3 linked regions of the Xenopus tropicalis genome follow. Each later gene encodes a partner of the first gene's protein in a complex. Links are inferred from orthologs where the notes say so. Each region holds a gene or a part of one and is shown in the gene's direction. Other genes may lie near its edges. The genes, in order: actr2, arpc5 and arpc5l.

Region 1 (3,649 bases):
CAAGGGCACCTATGTTATGCATTAGGTATAGCAAGGTAATTGCTGCCACTTTTATTTTCATGTATTCTAATGAATGGGAGGGCCAAGCAAATATTAAAGAAATGAAGTGCGCTTAAATTTATGAATTTTAAGGGAGCAGTATATCCACTTGAAGTAGTAGTTGAAGCAGCATGGAAAGCATTATTGGCAGAGTTTATATACAGGAATATAAAGGAATTGACCATCTTAGTTCTAGTAATATCTTCCCTTTTCGGAGGTGAGAGACAACTTCCTGTTCAGCACAATGAGACGTTAATGAGCACCTTTTGATATTAGCTGTAGTTAACAAATGTTCCAATCCTTGAATACTGTGGAGTAGTATATGCAGACAAATACAGCCCATTCAGTGGTGTGCCACCTTGTATTTTGGGTCTCTGACCTAGAGCTGTGAAATGCTATGAGATTATACAGGCCATTCAGCCTCATTTAGAAAGAAACGGCGTCCTTTGTTTATATGGTATGTAATTTGAGCTGTTACAGTATGAATACTGTTTCATGTCCCAGCTTTCCTCGGACGCTAATAACAGCACGAGCAACTTCCTGTGTCTGTGTTTGAACTAAATATGGAAACGGGTAAAACAAAAAAAGGCAAACAACGTTAAAGAAGATAAAATTGTTAAAGACAATTGAATTTAAAAACACATACCTGTTAAATCTTTCACCTCCCAGCATGTTTCTATAGATGTTTGTTATGGATGGAATTATTGTTTTTATTCTGCTCCTGCACTCCTCTGCAGTACATAGTAAATGCTGACATCTGTCCCTTTGTTTGTTTCCAGGCCAGAGTTCTATAAGCACATTGTGCTGTCAGGGGGCTCCACAATGTATCCAGGATTGCCCTCCCGTTTAGAGCGAGAACTGAAACAGCTCTATCTGGAGCGAGTCCTGAAAGGAGATGTTGAAAAATTATCGGTAAGGCTTTCAATTCTTGTTTTCTTTAAAAAATAAATTATTTTGTTAAAAGCGGTGTGCTTTCTTTCTGTTTTACAGTCTGAGTGTTGTGCTGCACATTACAACCTGTGGCACGTAGGCTTAAAGTTGCTTGTTTTGCTTAGCAAATTATAACTTCATCTTAACCTGGTACTGATTGTTCCCAAATCAACACAGCATCCTGAATTGCCATACAACATATTTCAAAGCCAAATGTGTGTTCTAGATAGAAATCCAACCCACAAACTGCATTGCCTGTTGGTAATTGTTCCGTACATTGTGGCGGCTCAGTATATGGAGTGTGGGTGCCTCTGGGAGCTTGGCAGTAGGCTGAAATCCAGTGTATGTGTTCCCCATCCATGCTCTGCTGACAGAGCTTTATATCATCCATTTTGAGAAACATATGATTTTAACAATAGGTGATACAACATAAATTTTGTTTATACCCCCTCAGTTGACCAACATTTGATGAGGGTCTCCTAGGCTTACAGATCAATAGAAAAAAATAGTAATAACACTCATTCTGTTGTCCCATACTTATCAAGGACAGCAAATAAGCAGTCACCCTAGGTCTTACATGAAATTGCATTGAGACTGAGCATGTAGCAATTTAGTTAGCAATTAAGCCTTCATGTTTAAGGTCCAACATTTGGCCAAGGCCCTCTATAGCTCCTTGTAAGGTCACAGATGCAAACATCAATGTATGATAAATTTAGCATACTTAGTATAGAGTGAGCTATGGGGGTGAATACTAAGTTTTGAGTGCTGTCTTCAGGGGTATCCTGGGCCACATTTAGGCATTTGCCACAAATCTCATACTAACTGGCCTTATGAACAGCTCCCAAAACTGTGATACCAGAATGAATCAGGTGCTGTTAGATTGAGCCAATCCATTACACTGTAGTAACATCAGAATGTATGCCACTTTGACTTGTGTAGAGTTATATGCTCAAAAATTAGGTTGTGTTTCAGTGCATATCATGTTTTTTCTTCATCTTTTTTTCTTCTCCTTATTCCAGAAATTTAAGATCCGCATTGAAGATCCTCCCCGCCGCAAGCACATGGTGTTCTTGGGTGGAGCAGTATTAGCTGACATCATGAAAGACAAAGACAACTTCTGGATGACGCGCCAAGAGTACCAAGAGAAAGGCACGCGTGTTCTGGAGAAACTTGGTGTGACTGTACGATAAACACAACTGCCATTTCCCATCGCTTCTCTAAAGCTTTCCTTGTTTCCTTTATTGCCAATCTCTGAACTCATTCAGTTCCATGACTTTCTTGGAAAGGCCTGTCTGTGTCCTTTTGACCTAAAGATGGGAGTTTTTTTTGCCCTGTTTCCTGAGGAGAGCTTTGTTCCATGTTTGTTAATGTACCTCGGTTTGACTATTTAATATGCCGTGTCTTTACAAACACAAAGCTCTAACCACAGAGCCTAACTGCTCCACATTGTCCGTTCTCGTTAGACATTTGGCCAATCACAGTAGGCTTTTCCATCTAGTGTACTGCTCTAAGGCTGCTAGCTTTATCTTCTACTCACCGGGTGGTTTGCCTTTTGTTTCTATAAGAGAATCCTTTAAAAGCAGCTTTTAATACCATATCCTTGGGATGGACCCTTTTTTTTTTTCCTTTTTTTCCACATTAGCCTTCTCGTACACAAAAAAAAATCTAGATTTTTTTTTTAAGCAGTTATCGGTAATTGTGATTTATTTTGTACAACAATTTACAAATCCCTCTGCTGCTTTCTGTCACTTTAGTTATAAAATCTAAATTTTTGTTTTAATTTTTTTTGTTTCCATGTTTCATTCTTAGAAGGTACACTTCTACACAGTCATGTCTGTTGTTAGGGCGCAGCATTAGTGTGAAGGAGGTCCTTTGCCCATATTGTGTGATAATCATTGTTAGGCATCACTTACATATAGTAACTCAGTGGCCCTCCAGCTGCTGTTGAACTTACCCAACTGCTAAAGGCTGCCAGGGTTTTGTGGGGATGTAGTTCTTCAGCAGCCAGAGGTGCCCTGATTTAAATGGTTTTATCCCCCCTTCTTTGCTGTGGGCCTCATCCAGCCCTGCAAACAGCACCATGTAACATGGGAATTGCTGGACTTTTTTTCTTTTTGCCTTTTAATGAAGCACTTGATCAGGTGACCCATTCCACTGGGAACAAGCTCATTGACAAGAAATTATCAGAACAGTTAAAAAGTTACAAATGTGTTTGTGATTATTCCAACAAAATCTAGAGAATTCCTATCTATCTATGAATTTCTTTTGTTTTATTGTTTTCCTTTGTGCGCTCGTTTCTATAGAAGCGCAGTGAATAAATTTGCTGTTGCTGTAAGACAGTGCCAAGTGCGATTCTTCCAAGAGGAATGTTCCCAAGACAAAATAAATGACATATAATGGTTATCTAACCCACGTCTCTGCTAACGTCTATCCTTTCCACAAAGCGACAGTTGCTGGGGAGAGCGATTTTATTTATAAATGCTTGTTTTTTGGGGATAATTCATTGATTGTATGGTGATAGCTTGCTAGGATTTGTTTCGTTGCACTGCTCTCTAACGCACTGAGGGCTTTTAGTATGTGTGTGTTGTGCTACCTTCTGTATCGCTGCACGCCCACTGTTATTCACTTGCAAATGGCTGGAACCATTCGCTGAGTGCCACCACTGAATCCAATCTGACAC
Region 2 (4,245 bases), on another chromosome or scaffold:
GTCCAAATGACGCTTTTTTTATTGCCACCCTACATAGAAATGAGTTTTTATGTCATAAAGTTGAAGTAGCAACATTTTGCCTGTACATGAGTTTGACATTATGAACACCACCAAAGTGTTGCTTATGATGAGAAAAAAACTCACATTGACTGATTTTAAACGGTACTCCAAATCCATGAAAATGGTGTCTAGAATGACAATTTACTGTGTATAAAATCACCATATTAACCAAATGCAGAAAGACTTTTAGAATCTGTCTTTTTAACAACAAAAAAAGAAGAAAGTGTGCCTAGTAAAGCCTGTCAGGCAATGGAAGGGCATAGTTGCTCCTGTGTTCCCATTCTTATTACTGTTTGACGCTATATTGAGGTTTTATGTCACCTGTGAGAACTGGGCAGGAAACTTTTTTGCCTTCCTCTGGATCAGCTACCAGTTAGGCAGGTTATATATAGGCATTATGGTTGAACTTGATGGACATATGTCTTTTTTCAACCTAACTTACTATGTTACTTGTTAGGGGTCCACAACCCGGGGGGCAATAATTGTCTGCCACAGGATATTCTTTTTTTTTTTAATTCTATATTTACACGTCTTTCGTAAGGGCTGTGACAGACGGGGAGATTAGTCGCCATGCGACAAATCTACCTTGGTGCAGGCGACTAATCTTCCCAAAATGCCATCCCACCGGCTAGAATGTAAATCGCCAGTGGGATGCCATACGCGGCGCTGAAATCGACAAAGTTTCCTCTCGAGGCAACAGCCCCAAGGAATGGAGGAGGCTCAGAAGGAAAAGGGGGAGGGGGTAGAACAAGCAAAAACTATTTTATATTAAACACTAACATTATAACAAGATCTGACAACAAGCCATTGCTATAGTACCATTACATAAACTATTGGAACATTGAATTAAGGGGATGACAACCACAGGATATTATATAAAACATGCTATTGGAAATACACATATTCCATCAGCATATGCAGCAACACAGACTTCCACAAAATGCACTCAATACACTTACAATACCTAACTTTATTTATTTAGTCTGGATTTATATAAACACCCGTCCTGCACTGCGTGAAACCCACAAAACGGTGAGGACTTTGCCAGAAAATCCTTTTTTTCTGTACAAAAGCAGTCCAGCAAGCCATGCCACAGTTTTTTTTACCATGCAACAGGTCAGGTCACTGGAAAACACCAAACTGATTATCCCCTGACACCTCCACCGCCCAGGTAAATGTACTACCCACGGGCCCAGCCTGAGTGTCCCGCCTGGGTAAAGCCCACAGAATAGACTGAACGCTTTGATACTGCCTTAATCCCGGCAGAGGTAACCACACCAGCAAAACTAGCGCTCTGACAGTCTCCGGAAGCCGAGAATAAAAGCGGAAGCCGCTGCGCCTGCGCATTGAGTACGACCGCTCCCTGCCAGCAGCACAGAGTCTCCGGTTCGGGATGGCGAAGAATACGGTGTCTGCACGCTTCCGGAAAGTAGATGTGGATGAATATGATGAGAACAAATTCGTTGACGAAGAGGAGGCGGGAGAAGGACAGCAAGGACCCGACGAGGGGGAGGTTGATAGCGCGATTCGGGGATATCCTTGTATGTTGTCTGTGCTGGCAGGGCCTGGCATTGTACCTTTGTATGAACAGACATGCTCCTAATCGCCTGACATATGGGCTGTACCGTGTCATAGTGCTAACATGCTGAAGGTGTGCGGTGTCACATGGAGAGGGCTGACTGCCACTGTTTCCACTATTCCTGTCATGCTTTGTACTCATCTTCATCTTGCAAAGCCTATACTTCCCCCTACACCCTTCTCTTTGTTTGATCTCCAAGCTAAGGTTTCAGGAATATCTACTAGAATAAACTGGCATAGTCCTGATATGGTAGCCTAATAAGCTTTCAAACTGGAGTCAATACACATTTGCTTTTGTCTATGCACCTTGTCATTTGCTATGTGTGGATATGCAGAAGCTGTGCATACCAACTCCAGTTTGCACACTGACTCCATATTACATACCTAAAGGATCTATGGCAAGCAAAATACTTGCAAACCGTATATAGAGGCTCTGCTGTGTAGGAAATGTCAGTAGTTAATCTCCTTTTCCTACAAAGAGGAACTTGCTGTGAGGCTGTGGGAGTGTCAGTCACTTTATCCTGTGCATTTTGTTTCTTTTTCTCTGTCTATCTAAACAAAAACACTTTCTTTCTCACTCTCTCTCTGTTTGAAATCACATACATTTACATGCTTTCTTATCGGTGTTTCCAAGGGTGGATAATACAATAGTGGACTTTGAGCCAAGTTACACACAGGTTGAGCACACAGTTAAACACACCTTGATGGTTCTGTAGCAGTTATTGGTCGTTGTGGTGTTATAGTACAAGCTATATGTTTTTGTGAGGCAAGCTTGGTCTTGCTTCAGGTTTAGGAATGCAGGAAGTGGCTCAGTCTCAGTCATCAGGAAGCATGGGAACTTCTGCTTGGTTGGCTTTTTTTACACTTTTGTCCCAGATCTATATTTTTTTCATTAGTTTTAACACATTTTCAATTCAGACCATATTTCCATATATATGCACAGTAGGCTTTTTCAGATTTATGCTAATATTAGGCCAGGGCCATATAGGGATCTGTGAATATAAAGCATCAACTGAAATTGTTCTGTAATTATTGTATGGCATTTCTTTTGTGTCAGTACGTTATTCCCTTAACAGCTTGCTACAGGAAACATGATGGGAGCTCTGCAAGCTGCTCTAAAGAACCCACCAATTAATACCAAGAATCAGTCTGCCAAGGTAATATGCTTCTAGTAAAATACAACAGGAAACAAATTGTTATTCATTTGCTTATTATTTGCTGAAGGATAAATAAGGTAGTTATAAAGTGGCGTATTGGGTACAGAATATACATCAGTCAGTGCTTACTTCCTCTTTGCTTTTTGTTCCTCCTGCCAATAGTTTTATTGCCACACTATTTTATAAATTATATTCATATCTTACTTTCAGCCAAACTTATTTTGCTGCACTTAATGCATTCTGTACCAATAATCAGCCACTACTCAGTTGGTCATACCAGCAAGTTTTCCAATACAGTTTTACAATTTTCTAACTCTTTATTTTAAATTTTGGAGTATGGACATTGACTTTATCATTGCTTTTTACTTAGGATCGAGCTGAGCACCTGGTGCTGAAAGTTCTAATCTCCTTTAAAGCTAATGACATAGAAAAGGCTGTTCAATCTTTAGACAAAAATAACATGGACCTCTTAATGAAATACATCTACAAGGGCTTTGAGAGTCCGTCTGACAACAGCAGTGCTGTCTTGTTGCAGTGGCATGAGAAGGTGAGCAAAGTACTATGGAGCTGACAAACACATCAGGCATGCAGAGTAGGCACCTCTATTAGGTCATCATAGTCGGAGAGAGAGAAAGGGGGACTCATAAAGCAAAAGGGGCGGGGCTTCACACTAGACAAGGAAGCCGGTAAAAGAGATGCAGCTCATCTGCTTGTAATAGAGAGACAAAGTAATTCTGGATGCAGGGAAAAAAGGTATGTTATTCTGGGGGCTAAACAGAGTAATTTTAGAGTAAATTTAGATTAAAAAAAAAAAAAAAAAGGTTTACTTATTCTTTAAAGGCATACAGTGCCTTCCCATATAAGTAGATACCTTTTAATGCTGATCCCTCTTCTAAAAATGTTTCAGACCCTGTAGGTCTCCCCTAGCAGCAGTTGTTAGGGACAAAATTATCCATGAAATCTGATTCTATATTTTTGAGTGGTAGCAGTAACTGAGCAGTTTTGGAACACTGTTAACAGCACACTTCATGCCCTCCCAAAACTTGTTCAGTGAGGGAGCATGTACACAAGGATTTAACTCCTAGGGGCAAATTTACTAATTTGTAATGATCTGTATTTTGAGATTTTTTTTGTCGCCGTCGCGACTTTTCCGTCGCGAAAAAATCGTACTCTCGTGCCGAGTACGAAAGCGCTCAATACGAAAAAGTTGCGACAACTCGCGAAAGTCGTAACGGCTACGAAAAAGTTGCAACAATTTGCGACAATTCACGAAAAAATCGCAAAATGTTCGTTTCCAATCCGATTTTTCGAGTTTCTTCTTTATGGCAAAACTAAAATATGGCTTTAACAAAATAGTTGGACAAACCCAAGCAGGGTCTGTCCAGATTGACAAAATGTTGTCACTGAATCTAGAGGGACAGGAATAAATGATAGCACAGCCTCTTCTTTA
Region 3 (4,400 bases), on another chromosome or scaffold:
TGAAGCTGAAGAGGTGAATGCACGGCAGTGGGCTTACAAGGCAAGAATGGAAAATGAGTTTAGATACAATTGGTTTGGCCACCATACTAGTGCTCGCAGACAATTACAATGCACACACAGTTTAAGATATGAGTGCGTTTTTCTAGGTTAAATAATAATCAATATTACAATATGGAGGTCATAAGAGCCAGAAAGCAATTCATATGTCCAAGAACAACTCTCATAATTGCAGCTTTTAGTCAGCATTCTAGGGCATTACTTGTAATGATCGGCAGGTAAATTAACAGGAAAGTACAAACCTAGTAATGACCAAATCATGGTATTTTTTTGGCGCTGTCATTTACTGCCATTCTGATATAGTGGATAGTCCAATTGCCAATGCCATATCACCCTTGAAAAAATGATTTATATAATATTGCCAACAATCTGACCTACTAATTCACCACCCACAGGCACTAACTAGCTTCCATGTAAAGATGACCCCTTTGAAACTGGTCTCAAAATCCTGACTATATCACAAACATTGAGAGAAGGCAGGCACTCTGGTAGTTCACGTATCATGTGTTAGCTCAATAAAAGTTTTGTGATTTTACTTTACTTTCTCGTGGACAACCGCTTTTCTTCACTGAACTACCAGAGTGCCTGTCTTCTCTCTGTGTGAGGCAGTCTCCTCAACCTTATTTATTTGTTTGTAGAACCACATGGTGACTCTACCTAAGCTGATCAGAAAACCCTGCACTACACTGATGAGCCCCCAATAAGGGTGAAACCGGTCTGTAGTTGGGAATCTGATCAGCTATTGTCCTGGCTTCAGCTTCAAACCCAGTGGGTGAGCTGTAGCCTATAGGATAAACCCATGTAAATGGGATTTTTTTAAAGAGTCTGGAATTTGTTCCCAGAATTCCTTTTGTTTGCTTTTGTCTGCGTGAGGCAGTCTCCTCAACCTTATTTATTTGTTTGTCTTCTCTCAATGTTTGTGAGATACCCATGATGGCTCCCTCTAGCTGAAGGTCTGGGGCATGAGCACCTGGGCCCATCTATACTATGGGTGAGATTTACGAATTACTTCTGAGCATATGTTTACTTTTTTCTGTATCTTAAAATCCTGACCCTTAATATCCAATTAGCAATTCACTGATGTACCTTCTTTAAGGCTACATATAAATCTGCCTTGTGTGACTACAGCACGCATTTCAATTCCCAAGTAGTGTGGCACAATGTAAGTTTATTTCGTTTAAGGCACCATGCCTCCTCCATACAGTTATTTCTTTTCCGAATGTTGACATCTATGCCCCTAACTACTGTCCCCCAAGCCCCTGGGGTGACGGCCTGAGGAGTTGCTAAGCAACAAGAGGCCGCCATGTTGGCTTCTCGCTTCTCACGCGTTCATGTCAGTGACGCCATTCCGCTTCCGCTACACGCTCCGCCCTGCCGGAGTCACCGGAAGCGGAGGGAGCCGGCTGGACTGGAAGCGAGTGTCCGTGACAGCGGCCAAGCCCCCTTCCCTCTCAGTCGCCACTTCCCTCCCTGGTCACCCCCACCCTGAGTAGCTGCCGTCCGACCTAGCCAGGGAGTAAGCGCCTCAACACCCCCTTTTCATTGGCCTCCGCCCCCTTCCCTCCTCTCTCTCAGCCCCCAATTCCTGTCACACAGCTTCATTGAGAGAATTCATTGAGCCTTACTGTAGCCCCTAGCGATCAGTGGCCGCATTTTTGAAGGGGGTGCGTTTTGCTGTCAGGCTCATTGAGTGTTTGTAGTGGCAGTCGGTTCCTGTCACCTTCCCTGCGCTCACACCCTATCAGGGTGTCACACCCCCTTCCTGTGGGTGCTGCAGCCGGCCGGCTAGCCTAACATGGCCAAGAACACGCTGTCGTCGCGCTTCCGCAAGGTGGACATAGACGAGTACGACGAGAACAAATTTGTTGACGATCAGCTGCAGGAGGAACCGGCCGAGCCTCAGGGGCCCGACGAGGCCGAGGTGGACAGTCTGATCAGGCAATATCCTTTTACTGTATTACTGCACACCTAGGCCATCGCTCATGCTGTAATTACTGGAATGCTTAACCTGCAACCCTCTTGTCAGGGGGGGGGGGGGACTGATAAACAGTTTATTATTTTTTTAATGAAAAATGTTTCTTATGGGTGAAGACACATGTAGCTACTAGTACTTGTCATGGCTACTCAAATAGACAATGCTGATCATTTACTGATACAGGTATCGGACCCCTTATCCGGAAACCCATTATCCATAAAGTTCTGAATTACCAAAAGGCCGTCTCCCATAGACTCCATTGTGATCAAATAATTCACATTTTAAAAAATTATTTCATTTTTCTCTGTAATAATAATACAGTACCTTGTACTTGATCCCAACTAAGATATAATTACCCCTTATTGGGGGCAGAACAGCCCTATTGGGTTTATTTAATGGTTAAATGATTCCCTTTTCTCTGTAATAATAAAACAGTACCTGTACGTGATCCCAACTAAGATATAATTACCCCTTATTGGGGCAGAACAGCCCTATTGGGTTTATTTAATGGTTAAATGATTCCCTTTTCTCTGTAATAATAAAACAGTACCTGTACTTGATCCCAACTAAGATATAATTACCCGTTATTGGGGGCAGAACAGCCCTATTGGGTTTATTTAATGGTTAAATGATTCCCTTTTCTCTGTAATAATAAAACAGTACCTGTACTTGATCCCAACTAAGATACAATTAATTCTTATTAGAGGCAAAACAAGCCTATTGGGTTTATTTAATGTTTAAATAATTTTATTAACATACTTAAGGTATGGAGATCCAAATTACGGAAAGACCCCTTATCTGGAAAACCCCAGGTCATGAGCATTCTGGATAATGGGTCCCATACCTGTAATTGTCTCTATGTGTGCGTTTTAGCAGAGGCAAGTCTCAGTATTGTCTATGGCAGGGTGTTTTCTGGAGTTAAGTAGCCATGAAAAAGTAGCTACTACTAGTAGCTCTGTGTGTCTTCACCCTAAAGCGAGTGGGAGCTAAAAATGTTACGGTGGAGCTAAGTAACTTGCAGCTATGCCCCTGCCTCTAGCAGTTGTTTCTGCACATTTGCCAGTATCACTCTTCGTGCCTCCCTTGTCCTGGGAGTGGTGGGTAACAGCTGGGGGTACGTACATAGTTTAATATGCATTGACTCATCCTTTGCTGATAACAAAGATTCAGTTATAAAAAGCAATGATATGAAAGGCTGTGACAGAACAAGAGGCTGGTCAATCATTGTGAGTGGGAAAGACTGGTAATTGCTGGCCCCATGCAATCCAGTGTTGCAGGTTTATTGATACTTTGCTTACATTCTTTAGCAAACATTATGGCTGTACACATGGTGGTGCTAGTTAGGGGCTGAGCAGTCTGGATGTATGGTTACAACTCCAAGGCTTGTGTTTGTTAGAAGAGAAAAATCCAATCGGCCATTTTAGCTACACCTTGTAGGTATGACTGTAGTTGCGGTATTTATAATTGATTTTAATAAAGGCATGTACTGAATCCTTCATTTTTAGATTCAGCTGAATCCTGCATTAACAATATAGCAGAACGCTGAATCTAAATTGTATTATTACATTTTAACAGAGAAAATCAAATATATCAACCTGGAGGAAAAAAACAGCCCTATTTTAGTTAACTTTTTTAGGTCTCCTTAGTGCTGGCTTAGGTTAGTGATACACAGGGCTGTTTCCCCACCTGCGTAAAAATGGGAACAGGCCAATGCAAGTGGATCCATTCCTTCTTACTAGTGGACTGACCGGCATGTCGGCAGCCTGTGAGCGCAGACAGAAAGTGAATTCCAACAATAAATTCATTATAGGGTGTTGATTGATTCATAAGCCAGAGAAATATACTGCTTAGAATGTCCAAATGCCAGGCCATTGATAGTTTTCTAATGTTACTTATAAAATTTAGGCAAAAGGTACTTCTTTGAAATAAGTTGGTGATGTGGGTTCTCTTAAAGTAACATTAAAAAAAAAAAAATGATGAAGGTATTGAAATATATAACGTACTGCTGCCCTGCACTGGTAAAACTTGTGTGTTTGCTTCACAAACTCTACTACTGTTAAATAAATAAGCTGCTGTGTAGCTATGGGGGTAGGTATTTAGCTTGAAAACAAGAAAAGGCACAGATTGCATATCAGATTTGCTCTGTATCTGTGGCATCTAACCCAGTTTCAACTCGAATGGCAGCCCCCGTGGCTACACAGCTACTTATTTTCAGGCCTGGATTTGTGGGCAAGCCACAAAGGGCCATGCCAAGGGCACCAAGGATCTGGTGGCAGCATGCTGCCCGCTGGCTGCATCTGAACTGGGGACAGGGTGAGAGATTTTGCTAGCTGTTTAAATCTCCCTTGGCCCTCAATGTTTTTCTGCT

What was found.
Region 2: actr2 (region 1) and arpc5 share a complex: the UniProt entries of both Homo sapiens proteins name them as parts of the arp2/3 complex. The link is inferred for Xenopus tropicalis from reciprocal best matches to the Homo sapiens genes ACTR2 and ARPC5.
Region 3: the proteins of actr2 (region 1) and arpc5l are in contact, whole or in part, in a cryo-EM structure (PDB 6YW6), measured with the Homo sapiens proteins. The link is inferred for Xenopus tropicalis from reciprocal best matches to the Homo sapiens genes ACTR2 and ARPC5L. Residues at the interface, in NP_005713.1 of Homo sapiens: Tyr225, Glu263, Phe266, Gln267, Arg319, Lys322, Gln323, Ser338; in NP_112240.1 of Homo sapiens: Arg11, Arg12, Val13, Asp14, Ile15, Asp16, Glu20.

What each region holds. Positions count from the first base shown.
Region 1 is NC_030681.2:31,960,117-31,963,765, reverse strand, and holds the end of actr2 (actin-related protein 2), read left to right. Parts: intron 1-818; coding exon 819-951; intron 952-1,988; coding exon 1,989-2,159; 3' UTR 2,160-3,377; downstream 3,378-3,649. UniProt on the Homo sapiens protein: ATP-binding component of the Arp2/3 complex, a multiprotein complex that mediates actin polymerization upon stimulation by nucleation-promoting factor (NPF).
Region 2 is NC_030680.2:99,903,044-99,907,288, forward strand, and holds the start of arpc5 (actin-related protein 2/3 complex subunit 5), read left to right. Parts: upstream 1-1,426; 5' UTR 1,427-1,453; coding exon 1,454-1,593; intron 1,594-2,722; coding exon 2,723-2,795; intron 2,796-3,165; coding exon 3,166-3,342; intron 3,343-4,245. UniProt on the Homo sapiens protein: Component of the Arp2/3 complex, a multiprotein complex that mediates actin polymerization upon stimulation by nucleation-promoting factor (NPF).
Region 3 is NC_030684.2:28,257,983-28,262,382, reverse strand, and holds the start of arpc5l (actin-related protein 2/3 complex subunit 5-like protein), read left to right. Parts: upstream 1-1,518; 5' UTR 1,519-1,852; coding exon 1,853-1,998; intron 1,999-4,400. UniProt on the Homo sapiens protein: May function as component of the Arp2/3 complex which is involved in regulation of actin polymerization and together with an activating nucleation-promoting factor (NPF) mediates the formation of branched actin networks.